Linked DNA regions of Danio rerio. The protein of the gene in region 2 purifies or fractionates together with the protein of the main gene of each other region. This does not show direct contact. Links are inferred from orthologs where the notes say so. Each region holds a gene or a part of one and is shown on either strand. Other genes may lie near its edges. The genes, in order: g3bp1, pabpc4, ddx6 and mkrn1.

Region 1 (4,296 bases), on a different chromosome or scaffold from region 2:
TTGAGTTTGAGACCCCTGCTTTAAATATTACAATGATTCCTATTATGCCAGTTGGCATATTCACTTCCATTTTACTGATCCATGAACATCTGCCAATGCAGATAAGTACAATAAATCTATGATAGCATGAAAACTATTTTTCAAATACACAATAGTTTAATTCACCTCAGGACATGCTAGCAATTTTATCAGATAACACATTTATGAAGGAATGTTCGTACCTCAGGTGCCAAAACAAATGTCTGCATGAACTTCCTCATGGGCTGCATGTTATTGGACAACTCCCCCAAAACTTGAACCACCACTCCCTCGTTCAGGGTGGCATGAGCATCGACATGTCTGATCTTAGTGTGACAGTCACGGAAGCTTAGAGCCATCACCTTCTTATGGATTTCCTGTTCACATGAGAGAAGAATAAAAAATGATTTACAGCACCGAATTACATAAGAGCAGCTACCATATCTCACATTTTCACATAACATTTATTCAATATGTACTTTACATGAAGTGTAAAATAGAGAATTGCGAGATATAAAGGGTGTAAAAATCTTTAAATTAAACATTTTGCATCTTTAATTCAAAATGGAGAGGTTTATTGGTGAAGCAAACCCCAAAACTTTAAGTGCGTCAGTGATAAACAAATATGATTGGTTGTTGGATTAATAGTTTCAATTCCTGCAGATTCATCTAAACCATGTAAGAGTTAGATTCTGATTTAATTCACAAAATGGAAATATTTTTGTGCACATATGGATTATTTTTTATTAAAATTTGCTCTTGATTGAAACTTGATTTGGATTTTTTTTCTCCCTGGTGTCAAAGAGGAACTCCATGATGACCACTTTACATGGTAGAGCATGCACATTCAAGACCAAGGGTACACCCACAATCATGCTTCACTCAGGATGAGGAAGTCACTGCAGCACTGCACAGCATTTGCTAAAAAAATGGTTAAAAGGTGGTCTTATTGGTTTGTAAAGGGAAGTTGGGCTTATTCAGGCGTAGATGATTAAATCCTCTCTCATGCAAGCTTGTAAATGCTTAAACTGAACTCTCTGTTGTTTATAGACTGGCACAAAATAGCTTATGGAAATAAAGGTTTTTAAAGACTGTCTTCAAATTAATTATTTGAAAAATCTTTTAGAAGTAATGTGAAATGTATCTTAAAAAAAGCAAAAATGTGGGGGTTTTTTTTACCCAAGACGCACAAAACTTATTCCAGAAAACCTCTAAAACAATGTTAGGTTCGGTTATAATAGTCTAAAAGGGGCAACTTAATTCACAACAACTGTAATATAATACTCACAGACTGTCCATATACTGCTTCTGCTGGTTTTCCATTGTTGTCCAGTCCACCATGTACATATGAGGAGTTCTTGCCATAAAACCTTAAGACAACAGCAAAGTTTAGCTTTACTGCAATATAAACTACCAAAAAAAGGAATGTTATACGTTAACAAAGGGCAAGTCACCTGTGCAGGTAGTCAGGAGCCTGGTTCAGCAGGGTGTAATACTGTCGGACAAACTCTCGCCCGACAAGCTGGGCACTTGGCTTCTCCATCACCATTTCTTTGGTCAACTGGTTTCAACTAAAACAAAAATGACTTATTATAAAAAAAGCACCTCCACTGTTTCTTCACCCTTATGTGGTTCCAAAGACACATGGTTGCTTCTTGAGGACCACAAAAGGAACTGCCCTGCGACATCTCCTTATGCGTCCTTCAGAGGAAAGCTAACGTTATCTGGATTTGAAAATCCTGATAGAGGCAACTCCCATTCCTGACGGAACTCATTTGAATATCAACCGCTATAAACGATATTTGATGAAGGAAATCGGGACAGGCCGCTTGTTGAAACCGAAACAAATCCCTTTGTTAAGCTCATGAAGACGTAACGTTAGACGCAATGAGGACGTTTAACAACAGCGTCTATACATTTCCGTCGCGCCCTAAAAGAACAGCAGTTCAATTAGATGTTTTAACTCCTAGTGAAGGGTGGGAAATTATTCCTATTGGAAAACTGTTTCAATCTGATGAATTCATTGTAAGGTTGAGCCAAGTAGGCCTGGACAACAGCGACGCGTTGCCATCTTGAGCCCCGTACCTAAGAGATAATCAATATTTCTTTCGTTTTCGAAAGGTTAACGAAAACTACTTGATCAAGGTCACAATTTAATCCACGTCCTAGAATTCTTCATTCGCCATTCATGAATCAGGCACGTGCCCAGTAACGTTACCGCGCTGACTTCAATTAATGTTACACGATCGTAATATATATCGAATGACAACACAATACGCAGAAATTTTGTTAAACTGATCTTAAACATCAGAAGAAGCGTAACACACCCTAACGACACCGTGAACGTGTGCTCCCTCTTTGTCGGAAATGTCGGCTGGTGGTCAAGCAAATGCAGCTAAAGCTAATCCTCACAGCGTCGACTAACAAAAAGACCCAGCCAGCGACCTAAGGCGGATTTGACCTTTTAATCGTCTGAAATAATCATAGCATTCATAATATGAAATATTTTTTATACAAAAACTACCGGAACTATACCTCTATATTAGATTAATCACATACTTTAAGCACATGGCTATTAGCTGCGCAGGAGCTAACAGAAAGCAGTACGCAACGCACAAGAACAAAAAAGATGTAGTGAAAAATAAACTGTAGAACATATTTAACTTAAAAAGCTAAAGTGAACTTACCGAAAGGGAATCAGTAATGTGTTTTTGGGAAGAGTTTGACGTGATTTAGGTGAAGCACCTCCTGCGCCGGTAGCTGTGAAGCTTTTAGCTGAGACACTGGCAGCAGCGCGTGTGGCGAATTGCCGGTTTCACAGCAGCGCCTACTAAACTCAACGGCCCACATGATCGCAGAACCCAGCAGCCAATCAGAACACCGCATTGGAACCCCCCATCCTATCATAATTCGTTCTGCCGTAAACCCCCTAAAATTACCCAACTGAAAACGTGGGTGAAAGAAATGATCATAGCAAGTTTGTCTGTCCCGCACGTACGTGAACTATGTGGTGAGCCATTGCGCAGCTGCCGATGCTGACCGTGTTGTTACTGTGCGCATTTTTGTTTGCGAAACTATGAGTTACTTGGTGATTTCCGTGCACATTAGAAACTGTACACTACAAACATTCAACTGCCAATGTAAGTCATTTGAGAAAGCGCCAAAGAGTAAAGAAAAGAAAGAGTAGATGATTAAGAAAATGTCAACAAGTCTTCATCTAAAGCAAGACAAGACATTTTGTACTGTGTTGTACTCATTTATGTAATTAGATAATTAATGACAGGGCTTTTGATTTAATTAAAATTATTATTGAAAGTTATTTCTACAGTTATATAGACATAATATAGCAATATTCATATATAGCAACATAACAATTTTTTCAGCCTCAGTAATGACCTAATGTTATTTACCGAAAGGTTTGAACAAGCAAGTAAAGAGTCATCGAGTAGTAAAAGATGGAAGAGACAGATTTTTTTATTTTTGGGTCAACTATCACATTAATGTCTTAAATATATATATATATATATATATTTATGTATATATATATATATATATATTTATGACATATATATATATATATATGTCAAGCCCATAGTCAGCATGATGAAATGGGGTGGTTCTTTTTCTCAAAAGTGGAGCTTTAACTTTCCTCATTCAAAATTTGGCCACTTGAATAATAAAAAATTAAAACAGAATAATAATAATATAGAGCTTCATAATTTTAGATTTTATTTGAAAATTCATGGATAACAAAAATAGCCAATTTAGCTTTCAAATTAATTTTAATATGGGCCTTTCGCGGTGCTTCAAGCCTTTTTATAGGTTTATTATATCAAAAATAAGGTTTAAGATTTAGAATAAAAGTTAATTGTAAATGTTTTCTCTATTTAACGACAATACAGTAGGTCAGTAGTGAATTTTCACAGTATGTCTGATAATATTTTTTCTTCTGGAGAAAGTCTTATTTGTTTTATTTCGGCTAGAATAAAAGCAGTTTTTAATTTTTTTAAAAAAGATTTTGAGGTCAAAATTATTAGCCCCTTTAAGCTAAACATTTTTCGACTGTCTACAGAACAAACCATCATTATACAATAACTTACCTAATTACCCTAACCTGCCTAGTTAACCTAAATAACCTAGTTAAGCCTTTAAATGTCACTTTAAGCTGTATAGAAGCGTCTTGAAAAGTATCTAGTCAAAAATTATGTACTGTTATCATGACAAAGATAAAATAAATCAGTTATTAGAAATGAGTTATTAAAACTATGATGTTTAGAA
Region 2 (3,567 bases):
TATTTTTAATTAATAGATATCTTTTGCACAGTTGCTAAAGCATCAATTTTGCTGTACCTTGTTAGCATCTTCATGCTTCTCGTAGCTAACAAAACCAAATCCCCGAGATTTCCCTGTGGGGTCAGTCATGACCTTCACGCTCAGTGTTTTACCTGCAGGTAGACACCAAATTTTCAGAAAAAAGGCCCAACCACTGGGAAAACATTTATTATTTATACTCTTACCATATTTATCAAAGAGCTCCTTCAGTCTCTGATCATCCATGTCATCGCCAAAGTTCTTGATGTAAACATTAGTGAACTCTTTGGCTTTGGCACCCATTTCTGCCTCTCTCTCCTTCCTGGACTTGAAACGGCCCACAAACCTACAAAAAAAGTGCAGACATAAATGTGACTCATGCAGAAATGCAATACAGACTCAGTGGAGTGACAGCTGCAGAACAACTGTTGACTCATACCAGCTGCAGCAGAGACAAGTGTGACTTACAAACACTAAAATGTTGGAAAACTAACTGTTGATGTACATGCATTGACAGTCGGTGAGGTACAAATTAAATCTGAGCTCAATTGGTTTCATATTATATATATTATAAATCACTATTTAAACTCATTATAACTTATGTTTATTGATTTGTTTTAGGGGCATCAAGGTGGCGCAGTGGGTAGCACAATCGCCTCATAGCAAGAAAGTCGCTGGTTCGAGCCTCAGCTGGGTCAGGTGGCATTTCTGTGTGGAGTTTGCATGTTCTCCCGGTGTTTGTGTTGGTTTCCTCCGGGTGCTCTGGTTTCCCCCACAGTCCAAAGAGATGCAGTACAGGTGAATTTAAGAAGCTAAATTTGCCATAGTGTATTAGTGTGAATGCAAAAGTGTATGGGTGTTTCCTAGTGTTGGGTTGCGGCTGCAAGTGCATCCGCTGCGTAAAACATGTGCTGGATAAGATGGTGATGGTTCCCCAGATTAGTAAAGGTAATGAGCTGAAAAGAAAATTGAATGAATGAAAGATTTGTTTTACAATAATACACATATAATACAAATATATCGGAAACAGATAACATCTTCAAAAAGTAAATAAACCAAGAAACTTAGATTGTATATAAGACATGAGTACCCCTAGAAAAAGGCCTACAATATTGTTGATTTTCCAGACAGTAATGCAATTACAACATTCCATTAAAAATAATAGGCAGTAGGGACTAGGTTTCAAATAACCCAAACATAAGTCCAAAATTTGAAAAAAGTGGCCTGTTGTTGTCTAATACATGGCAATACAAGGTGTTCCAGGGGATTTAACTCAAAAATGATCTTGTGCCAGCCTTAAGTGATGGAGATTTGTCACTAATCCAATTAAATTGGCTTTTAATTGTATGTACATTTTTTATTTCATTGTTTAATGATTTTTAAAAGTCAGAATATATTTGAAAGTTCAGTAAATGATTCTGATCCTTTAACTTTAATTGATCACCCAAAATGTCTCTCTTGAGCATCGCTGTCGCTCATCAAACCAGCACTCCTCCTTCCTTTCATATGACTAAGGTTATGCTCAGACACTCACACCTTGCGGTCGTTCAGCAACATTCCATTCATCTTCTCAATGGCACGATCGGCTGCGTCCTGAGTTTCAAAATGCACAAAGGCATAGCCTTTCGATCCGTTCTCGTCGCACACCACCTAATAATCAGACACAAGATGAGACTACTTCAGCAATCAGATTACGAGTTTTTCTTATACAGCTTTTCTAGCCCAGCTTCTCTGTGATGTGTGTTAATAAACTCTCAATAAATGACTAAATAAAAGAAAAATAAAAGCACACTGATTTTAAAGGTTCCGAATGTAAGTTTGACACCCAGTGGTTGAACTAGGTATCGCACTCCTGGATCAAAACAAACGCAAGCGCAGGTTGCCAGATTGAGGTCAGGATCGAGTGATTTAAACCGTGTTCTAAATAAAAGCAACAGCACCAGATAGGAGGAATATTTTACATATTAAAAGGATTTTTTGTCAAAACCAACACCTCGAATTGATATATTAGAAACGGCTTTTATTTCTCCCAGGTGAACAACAGAAACTGACCATGATCACCTCAGGTACACCTCATGTGCTTTATTCAGTGTTAAATGCTAACAATGTGAGTTTGAATGCCATTTCACCTGACATTTATTGCCATATACTGAAAGCAGCAGATCTTGAAAATAAAATAAACAGTTTGAAGTTGAAATTTAGATCTAAACGCATATCTGTGATTTAATAATGTTAAAGAAGTTTTTATTGTGTATTTGTTAGATTATAAACCTTACCATTTCGTGAGTGAGTGCATATTCTTTGCTTCTGAATGGCTGTATTTAAATCGCTGTCGCGTTTAGTCTGGTGCAAACAGCCAAATTGCTCACTATTGTGTATCTCGTCATGAAGCGTGTTGTTAGGACAAGCGGTTACAATATAACCTGCTCACCTAATGTTTACTCTCATAATATTTACATCATTTGCTAATTAATAACCACCTAATGTGGAACAGAATCTGTGTCTCATATCGGAGTCTTCTACTGTCCACTGGAGGTCGCATTTTGGTCATGGACGCATACTTTTAGAGCCTCTCTGAATGGATGGATGAATGAATGAATGAATGAATGAATGAATGAATGAAATATGCAATGTTCCACCAAAGCAACCCAGGGTGCTGAAATATAAATGGCTAAACTGGCATTGGGCAGGTTAAAATTTACCAAAACAAAGATAGCGTTCCTGCACAGAAAACACATTTTCAAAGCAGAATAACGTCAGCATTGTTTTTCAGATAAACAGGAATGTTCACTTATCAGCTTTCAAATTTCATAACATATTATGGTATTATGGTTAATAAACGAGAATACATTCTATAATTTCAGGAATTTCAATAAGTTTTTAAAAATCTGTTCATGTAGGAAGAAAAAGAAGTATGAGTGCATGCTTTAATTACATTTAAAAATTAACTATGTTAGTAATATTGGTCACATTTTATAATAAGGTTTCATTAGTTGATGTATTTACTAACTTATTATTAAAATCCAAAGTCATGCTAAAAAATATTAGTTGATGCACCTTGAGTAAACATAAATTAATAATGAACTGCTTTTGAACTTTCTAACTAAGATTAACAAACATGAACATATAATAAATGTATTCATTGTTTGTTCATGTTAGTAAATGCATTAACTAACATGAACTAATGCAACCTTATTGTGAAGTTTTAACGTAATATTATAGAAATTAATTTATAGTCATCCAGCAGCCCATTTGAAAGTTTGTTGTGGTCTTCTAACTGAGGAGCATTGATCCACCCGAACACAGAGAACAAAAACTATAACTATAATAATATAGCCATTGTTTTAAAACTCATTCTCAACAAAAATGTTGTCATCACTTTCAGAATAACATGCATAATGAACATTGACTGGTGTTTTAAAGATGCATATGTTATCATTATAATCATCTGTTGATGTAGGTGTAAATAACTGACATTGACTAGTCATGCAATTACTGTGGTTTGCCTTTGGAGGTCAGCACAGTGCATGTATTCGAGAAGAAGATCTA
Region 3 (4,031 bases), on a different chromosome or scaffold from region 2:
TGCGTGCGTTATCAAATTCCAATAAAACGACCCTCTTACAGCATTAAATACTCATCCAATATTTCATTTGTCAGGGGAGGCATGCATGAAATGTTCCTGAGTGAAAGTGCCAAACTGCAGTTAAAGTCGACAAATTTAAAACACCGGAAATTACATGATATCCCAGAGGAAATGTGAATAGCGTGGCGATTCTATGAAGTTAATTGAATTGTGCTACAACATGTAAAACAGGATCATGAAAAGAACATACAAATTGCAACTTATGCGAACACCTTAATCATATTACTGTCTTATTCAGATTAAGGCAAATAATTTAATTACTAATGTAAACTTAGTCATTGAGTGCTTAGATCAAGCAATGTCGACGAGGCATGGGACGATAAGTTTAAGGTATACCACGGTTTGGAAAAGCCAAGGTTTTAAAACCGCAAAAGTTTCCTACTATACCATTCCTAAGGTATGTCCAAGTTTTGTTTTTTGTTGTTGTTGGTTTTTTAGGACAACAGTATTTCCAGCAGAAAGGAATCAAAAAAAAAATCCAAAGATGCTGTTTTAAATTGTAAGGAAATCTGTGTTTTTTTAAACAAATGAAGACAGCATTAGTCAAAGGCTGTGTCCGAACCGCCTACTACTCAGTAGGTACTGCTTTTGAATTTAAATGTACTACTCGGCAGTTACAAACGTACGTTCTATACAGTATGAATGTGAAAAGTATGGACAGAATTCGGACGTACTATATCCACCATTTTGTCATGGTCACGTGACCTACCTGCATCAGTTGCGTTGCTTAACTTCCATTTATGAATTCTCTCACGTGGCATTATGGGACAGCGCAGCGTGCATAGGATGCGCACTCCGGAATCTCACCGGAAGTAGCAAGTCATCCGGGTACTTCTCGCAAACTGATTTTCGAACTCTATGAATTTGGACATACTACTCGACTCGCATACTGATTTTAGCATACCATATAGTATGGAAGTATACGGTTTCGGACGCAGCCAATGATTCATTTGAATTATTTAGCCTAACATGTTTACCATTACAAAATATATCAAATGTTTCTCTAAATAAAATAAATTGTGTTGAAAGGGGAGAAAAAAAAAGTTAGTTTTTTTACCCAGACATTTAATTAGAATATATTTTAAAAGGAGTAATCACAATATCGTAAAACAGAGATATTTTTATCCGAGGTTATCATACCATCAGAATCTTATACCAGCCCATGCCTAATGTCGACCAAGCAAGACATCGTATGAGGTCTAATGTGAAACTTTGTGATGCAAGATGAGATCAGGGTTAAGGTTGGGTTTGATAAAAGGTTCCATCATTTTAATTTTCTTTTAACAAAAAGTGTGCTAATTGCTCTGTGCATCTTTACCACAAACTAGCACTAACACTTATACTTCTACAATTACCTGCAATATTACAGCATCAAAAGAGTTAACACACACTCATGCAGAAATTACAGGGACAAGCTCTGGTAGAAGTGTCAAGATAAAAAAGTCTCTTGAATTTGTAACCAATTACAACTTTAATTCATTTTCAGATCTATGAACAGACCATAAACGTTATTAAATGTCTAATGTGAGTTCAATAATGATGGCAGCAGCAGCTGGCACAATGTCAACACGATAGGCCTCATTGTAAAACAGCCTCGCGTTTACCTAAAGCATTTAAAAATGACAAACTTTAATAAATGTGACTTCAGTGTTGTTATGCATCTATAAAAACAGGTGAAGTTGCACGTTGACTACACAGCTGTGGAGCTTAAAATTAGACATAACAAATGTTTGGTTACCTTAAGTTAAGCGAAAGCGTATAGTTCATTGAACTCATTCCACGAATACTAAAAAACAATGTTATGTTATACGATATAACCAGTGTCACGTTGTAGTTATTAAGCTAAAATGTACATCTTAAAGGTTAACCGTATTGATTCCACATAACGTGAAACTCGGCGTCACGCAACAAACGTTAATGCTAATGTTTAGCTACGCAGCTACCGCTGACGGCTTCAAGCCAGACAGATTTTAATAGTCGGATACATTTTAAATCTTTAGCAAACACGGTTATCATAATACGATGGAATGTGGCTTTTATTATAAGCAAATCTAAATATATAAGCTGTTAGGAAGGAAATATTAGCAGTGCTCAAGCTCGTTAGCTTTTGGCTTGCACACAGGCCGCACGCGTAACCTCAGATTCACAATCACCAGTATAAAGAACTAAACGCTCGTTTCATAAACGCTAAAACAGAAGCAAGAACATATTTAACTCTTAACTAAATCAGCTAACACAAACACTGCGAGCCAAAAAGACATCACAAATTTGTAAACACCAAGACACAAAGAAACCCACAAAACCGACTTAATCCCCAGAACACAACACGTAGATTTGACGTTCTGCAAACTTACCAAACGTGGCAGAGAATATCTTTCAGTGTGTTTGTGTTTGTGAATTATAGGTGTAGAGTTGTGACATATTTCGGGGTGTAAAGCGAGTGTGTAAGATGGCTTCCAGTCATCTTTAAACCCTCCCATAATCAGTCACATGAGACAGAGCCCTGTCTAATCCACACAAACGCAACGCATATGACGATTGTTTAGAAAACGCAATTTAATGCTGCCGTCATTTCAAATGCGTTGTTAAATATATATATATTAAGAATACGTTAATTAAGCTCTTAGAATTTCGTTTTATTTATGTTTTATTTATTTGTAAGCGGTTGAGGTCGTCACAATTACACATTTTGCTTTAAAAACGTCCTAATTACATAGCAGCGCAGTTTAATTCCTACCTGAGCTTGTTGTAGTCTTGGCTGAAGCACGGCATGTGAAGGGTGTCATTTAATTAGCTCAACGTGTTTATACTTGACTAATTGGTGTAAGGATCCATGTGGTTTAGACATACTGTTTTTTTATTTGGGTATTTAAAAACATATTTTATCTTTAATAATAATGCTTATTTTATTATTGTTGAAGAGGCTTGAAGTGCACAAAGTAGGAATCTGTTGATAGGCACGCCTGAGGTGTTTGGAGGTAGTTAATGAATTGCCTTGAGTAGTTTAATGACTAATTAGACTGACTTATGTGGCTAGAAAGTAGTTTTTTAACGTAACGTAACATTTTTGTGCATTAGTATGTCTGTTATTTATTTATTTTTCGTTGCGAAAAAACATAAATTTTGAGCACGATGACGAACGTGTCCTTAAGTTTGACATAATATACATTAAACCTAATAATTCATCAATTTTCTCTCAGCTTAGTCCATTTATTCATGAGAGGTTGCCACAGCGGAATGAACCGCCAACTTATCCAGCATATGTTTTTTTTTTTTTTTTTACAGCAGATGCCCAGCTTCAACCCAGTACTGGGAAACATCCATACACACTCATACACTGCAGCCAATTAAGTTTATACAATTCACCTAAATGCAGTTACATCCAAATATATTTAGATGTGTTGTTGGACAGGAAACGTAAGTGGACTGAGTCTATAAGGAAAAGGCAACAGAGAATGTACTTCTTAAAGAAACGATTGTCTTTTATTGTTGACAACACATCGTTGATCATATTTTCTAGTGTTTTTATTGAAATTATTGCAACATTTTGTGTGATCTATTGGTATGGAAATGCTTCTGAGGCCCAGAAGAGGTCACTGGGAAAGGTGGTAACAACAGCCAGTAAGTTCTTGGGTATAAAACAAAAGGGCATTAATAGTATATACAAAGAAAGTGTATTAAATAAGGCTATCATGATTGTCTATGATGAGAGACATCCTTTATCAAACACCTTTCAATTGTTACTATCAGTTTGTCGATATTGTGTTTACAGATGTGTGAGAAATAGGACAAAATGATCATTTATAGGGAGCGCGAGGCACAAAGTAATGCAGGGTAACGTAACATGGAGTTGTAAGGTATTTGCTCAGGGTTATTTATGAGGTGCCGTGTAGGATTTAAATCAAACTTTGCTTATCAACACATACATAAAACACGTGTATATACACCTATAAATTACTCGCATATACACC
Region 4 (4,254 bases), on a different chromosome or scaffold from region 2:
GAAACAAAGACAAACAAGATGTCTAATTCTGCATGTATTTCAGAGCCATTGAGAAATCAGTCAGTAGTTACCTCAGCAATAGATGATAGCAGGGTGATTTCACTTATTAGCTTAGATTAAACTTGTTTTTTTTTTTTGAGAATGTACAGTTGAAGTCAATATTATTATTGCTAATTTTATACACACTACCGGTCAAACGTTTAGGATTTTTAATATAACTAATTTTAATGAAGATTTTTCAGCATCATTAATCATTATTCCAGTCTTCAGAGTCACATGATCCTTCAGAAATAACTAATATTAATTATTATTGTTATTATTATTATTGGGCAACACGGTGGCTCAGTGGTTAGTACTGGCTCGGCTGGGTCAGTTGGCATTTCTGTGTGGACTTTGCATGTTCTCCACCTGTTCATGTGGGTCTGCTCCAAAGTCCAAAGACACGCGCTATATGAATTGGGTAGGCTAAATTGTCCTTAGTGTATGTGTGTGAATGAGTGTATGGGTGTTTGCCAGTGATGGGTTGCAGATGGAAGGGCATCTGCTGCATAAAGCATATGTTGGATAAGTTGGCAGGTCATTACAATCTCTGATTAATAAAGGGACCAAGCCAAAAAGAAAATAAATGAATGAATGTAATTGTGCTGGTTAGAGCCTCGGCTAGGGTATTTCTATGTGGAGTTTGCATGTTCTTCCTGTGTTCATGTGGGTTTCCCCCCGGTTCCCCTGTTTCCCCCACAAGTCCAAAGACATGTGTGTGAATTGGGTAAGCTAAATTGTCCGTAGTGTATGTATGTGAATAAGAGAGTATGGATGTTTCCCAGTGATGGGTTGAGGCTGGAAAGGCATCCGCAGCGTAAAAACGTGCTCGATGAGTTGGTGGTTCATTCCACTGTGGTGACACCAGATTATTAAAGGGACTAAGCCGAAAAGAAAATGAATGAGCTCCTTGTTTGATCGTCTTTAAAAAGGAGTTTGCCACCTATGCAGAGGCTTTAAAAATAATGAAGGGTGAGAATGCAAAAAACAATTGTATGATTTGTTTTAAAAAATATGGTTTTATCTAACCCCTAACAAAGTTTCTGTTTAATGTCTGGATGATTTGTTAATTATTGAATATTTTATACATTGTGTTTTTTATGGCTCTATAATTGATTCAATATCTGACATTTTTCAGTCGGTTTGTGAAAGTTTACAACGGAATGGAGTTAGATGAAATTGTTTTTCTCTTGGGTCTTGGTTTATCTTCGGTTTCCCGAAAACACCCGACCCCTCTGCGGCTTTTTTTGTTCACCGAAAACATTCGATCACGTAATGCGGCTTCGGTTTTCCGAAAATGGCCGAGCGCAGAACGGCCGCTTTCCGGAAGATCCGGGTGCTAAGGCTTCAACATAAACAGCAATGGCGGAGGCAGCGGCAGCGTCAACAGCGGCTCCAGCAGTTATCGGAGGCTGGACGAAGCACGTAACCTGCAGGTTAGTGGAAATCCGCCGATAAACGCGCTTATAATAAAACGAAACGGTCACTAATATAAAACACAAACGGCTGTCTGTGCGTCGATGACGAGGCTTCGGTTATCGCCGCTGTCTTTGTGCTGAACTGGATGAGTGTGTGTGTGAGAGTGTGTGTTTGTTATTGTAACGCACAGATCAGTCCGACAGCGGCTGTTTTTTTGCGTTTCTTTCTTCCTCTGTTAGTGTATCTCTGCGACATCCGAGTTTGTTCAAAACAACACGACAGCGCATCTTCCTCATAATGCAGCCAGTTTGACAGCTAGGAAGCCATAAAATAAAACCTTGAGTTTACTATTCTGGGATTCAGCCAATGTGTCAGTGTCAGCCTTGATGATTTATGCTTATGAATTAATTTATCAGGCTTTATCCAAGTCTAGTCATGACTTTACAAAATGTACGTTTTTATTTAGCCACACAGTCAAAGGTATAACACGACTTAAAGCACAAGTAATATGCAATGTTTACATTAGCACTATTGTCAAATAAACGCACATATGAAGAACTAATTAAGTCTATCCATATAAAATATGTGGTCAGTGTAATGCATATTATAGTCATGTCCTTCTAAAGTCGTTTTTATATTAATATGACCTGGATCTTAATAATATTTTGTTATGAAAATCTTGTTTATTAACCTTCGGATAGCTAGATTATATTTCAGTGGCACCAATCAAGGCCAGTCTCAAAGCCATCCTTCATTTCTAGGTATTTCATGCACGGGCTTTGCAAAGAGGGTGAGAACTGTCGATATTCACACGACCTCAGCAGCTGCAAGCAAACCATGATCTGCAAGTTCTTCCAAAAGGGATGCTGTGCTTTCGGGGACCGTTGCAGGTATGAGACACAATGATGTAATGTGTTGCATTATAATGTGCACCAAAACATCCGCTGGCGCTCATGACCAGATCTGAACAGATCTTGCATAACATCAAAGGTAATGTAATCTGTATTTCTGTGCTGGAGAGCGTAACACGTGAGCGGGTTTAAATGCAGTAGCGGTAAGCAGGGCTTCTGAGAAGCGTTGTGTGTTGCTTCATTACATGCCTGCGACATCTGAGACGCGGAATTTTTTTGTAAACAAGTTGTTGGGTTAGTCGCTTTCTTAAAGAGGCAGTTTATCCAAGTCATTATTTAGTTCTTCCTAAATCTGTAGGGGTTTTTGTCGAAAACAGGTTTTTAACCCTCACCCCATTTACGTTTGAAGAGTTTAACATTTTAAAAATAAAATATGGCATAAAAGAATACATTTCTTAGCATATCTCTTTAAAATAAATGAAAATGAGTAATTGTCCAATGCATTTCTGTTAGATTAATGTTATATGCATAGAAATAAAATGCACTAATATAGAAGTGGCCTCCAAATGCATCATTTGCATGTTCGGGTATCTATATCTATAGACCACATAAATGCAAATGAACAATTTGCAGACCTTTTTTTGTTTCTTTATTTTGAGTCAAACATGAAAATTACTTAAAAATTTACTTGCATCAAACTTGTTTGCGTTTTATATTTTATTTTGATTATTTTTTATAAATAAGGTATTTTGAAGAATGTTGGAAACCGCATTTAACTCCTTAGTATTGTTTTACCCTAATTCTTCCAAATTTCCTCATTTGTGTTTAAAAAAAAAAAAAACATAAAAAAAAAAAAAAAAAAACGTAAATATTTTCAAGTGTACTTGCTGTCTAAATCTACGTAAACGCCAACAAGTGCACTCGAAACAAACTAGCCAACAAGCCAACCACCTTTGGCCAATGCAGTCAAGTGCACAGGTGCTTGAAGCGGTGTAAAAATTAGCCTGTGAGCCAGACAGTTCAGACAATGTTTGTCTCATATCTGTCTGCGGTCAAGTGTATCCCCATAGTAACTGCTGCCCCCAGCTCGGCACTATGGGAATGTCTTTGTTTGGCGTTGGCTGCTCTATGACAGCATTACATCTGACTGAGAGCTCCCTCTTACTCTCCTCCTAAGGTCTGTTTCCTATGGATTCAGGGTCTTCAGCATAAATATCTGATTTTTGTAACTAGACTTTGTGGAATGATTAATGGTGATTAATCGCATTCAAAATAAAAGTTTGCATTTACACAATATGTGTCTGTCTAATGTGTATACACACTTATATAAAATGCAAAAGTGAATAAATCAGGGGGAAGAATTTTATATATATATATATATATATATATATATATATATATATATATATATATATATATATATATATATATATATATATATATATATATATATATATATATATATATATGAATACACACACCCAAAGCAGGAAGAATTATTATTATTATTATTATTATTATTATCATCCTGATTGCATGATATGCCATATTTAATATTTAAGACAAATATGTATTACACCAGACAGCATTTCTAATTATATATTTGTTTTGCATGAACATTGTCATTTATTTTGCCCTGATTGGACCATCTAAAAATGACACGCCTCAAATATATACATGCATGATGTGTGTATTTATATATACATAATAAATATGCACAGTGCATGCATATATTATGTAAATATTATGGCGAGTGATGTAAAAATTTGACATGATTTCTGAAAATAAAAGCATACAATTTGTTAGCATGTTAGCAAGTATTTGGACTGAAAATGTATAACAATTAACATTTAAATAAATAAATATATATACCATAAATATAATATATACCATAAATTTGTTCCTAATAAAATAAACAAAAAAACATAACATTTGAAAAGCTAAC

What was found.
Region 1: the proteins of pabpc4 (region 2) and g3bp1 purify together in Homo sapiens (affinity purification with mass spectrometry; 4 studies listed by BioGRID and IntAct, with this or other methods). This does not show direct contact. The link is inferred for Danio rerio from reciprocal best matches to the Homo sapiens genes PABPC4 and G3BP1.
Region 3: the proteins of pabpc4 (region 2) and ddx6 purify together in Homo sapiens (affinity purification with mass spectrometry; 3 studies listed by BioGRID and IntAct, with this or other methods). This does not show direct contact. The link is inferred for Danio rerio from reciprocal best matches to the Homo sapiens genes PABPC4 and DDX6.
Region 4: the proteins of pabpc4 (region 2) and mkrn1 purify together in Homo sapiens (affinity purification with mass spectrometry; 3 studies listed by BioGRID and IntAct, with this or other methods). This does not show direct contact. The link is inferred for Danio rerio from reciprocal best matches to the Homo sapiens genes PABPC4 and MKRN1.

The regions. Positions count from the first base shown.
Region 1 is NC_133189.1:30,206,768-30,211,063, forward strand, and holds the start of g3bp1 (ras GTPase-activating protein-binding protein 1), read right to left. Parts: upstream 2,822-4,296; 5' UTR 2,706-2,821; intron 1,590-2,705; 5' UTR 1,568-1,589; coding exon 1,473-1,567; intron 1,389-1,472; coding exon 1,307-1,388; intron 396-1,306; coding exon 222-395; intron 1-221. UniProt on the Homo sapiens protein: Protein involved in various processes, such as stress granule formation and innate immunity. Plays an essential role in stress granule formation.
Region 2 is NC_133192.1:26,709,081-26,712,647, forward strand, and holds part of pabpc4 (polyadenylate-binding protein 4), read right to left. Parts: intron 1,669-3,567; coding exon 1,553-1,668; intron 365-1,552; coding exon 225-364; intron 153-224; coding exon 58-152; intron 1-57.
Region 3 is NC_133193.1:46,839,434-46,843,464, forward strand, and holds the start of ddx6 (probable ATP-dependent RNA helicase DDX6), read right to left. Parts: upstream 2,839-4,031; 5' UTR 2,798-2,838; intron 2,503-2,797; exon of another isoform or gene 2,415-2,502; intron 1-2,414.
Region 4 is NC_133179.1:12,864,301-12,868,554, forward strand, and holds the start of mkrn1 (probable E3 ubiquitin-protein ligase makorin-1), read left to right. Parts: upstream 1-1,388; 5' UTR 1,389-1,401; coding exon 1,402-1,475; intron 1,476-2,219; coding exon 2,220-2,348; intron 2,349-4,254. UniProt on the Homo sapiens protein: E3 ubiquitin ligase catalyzing the covalent attachment of ubiquitin moieties onto substrate proteins. These substrates include FILIP1, p53/TP53, CDKN1A and TERT.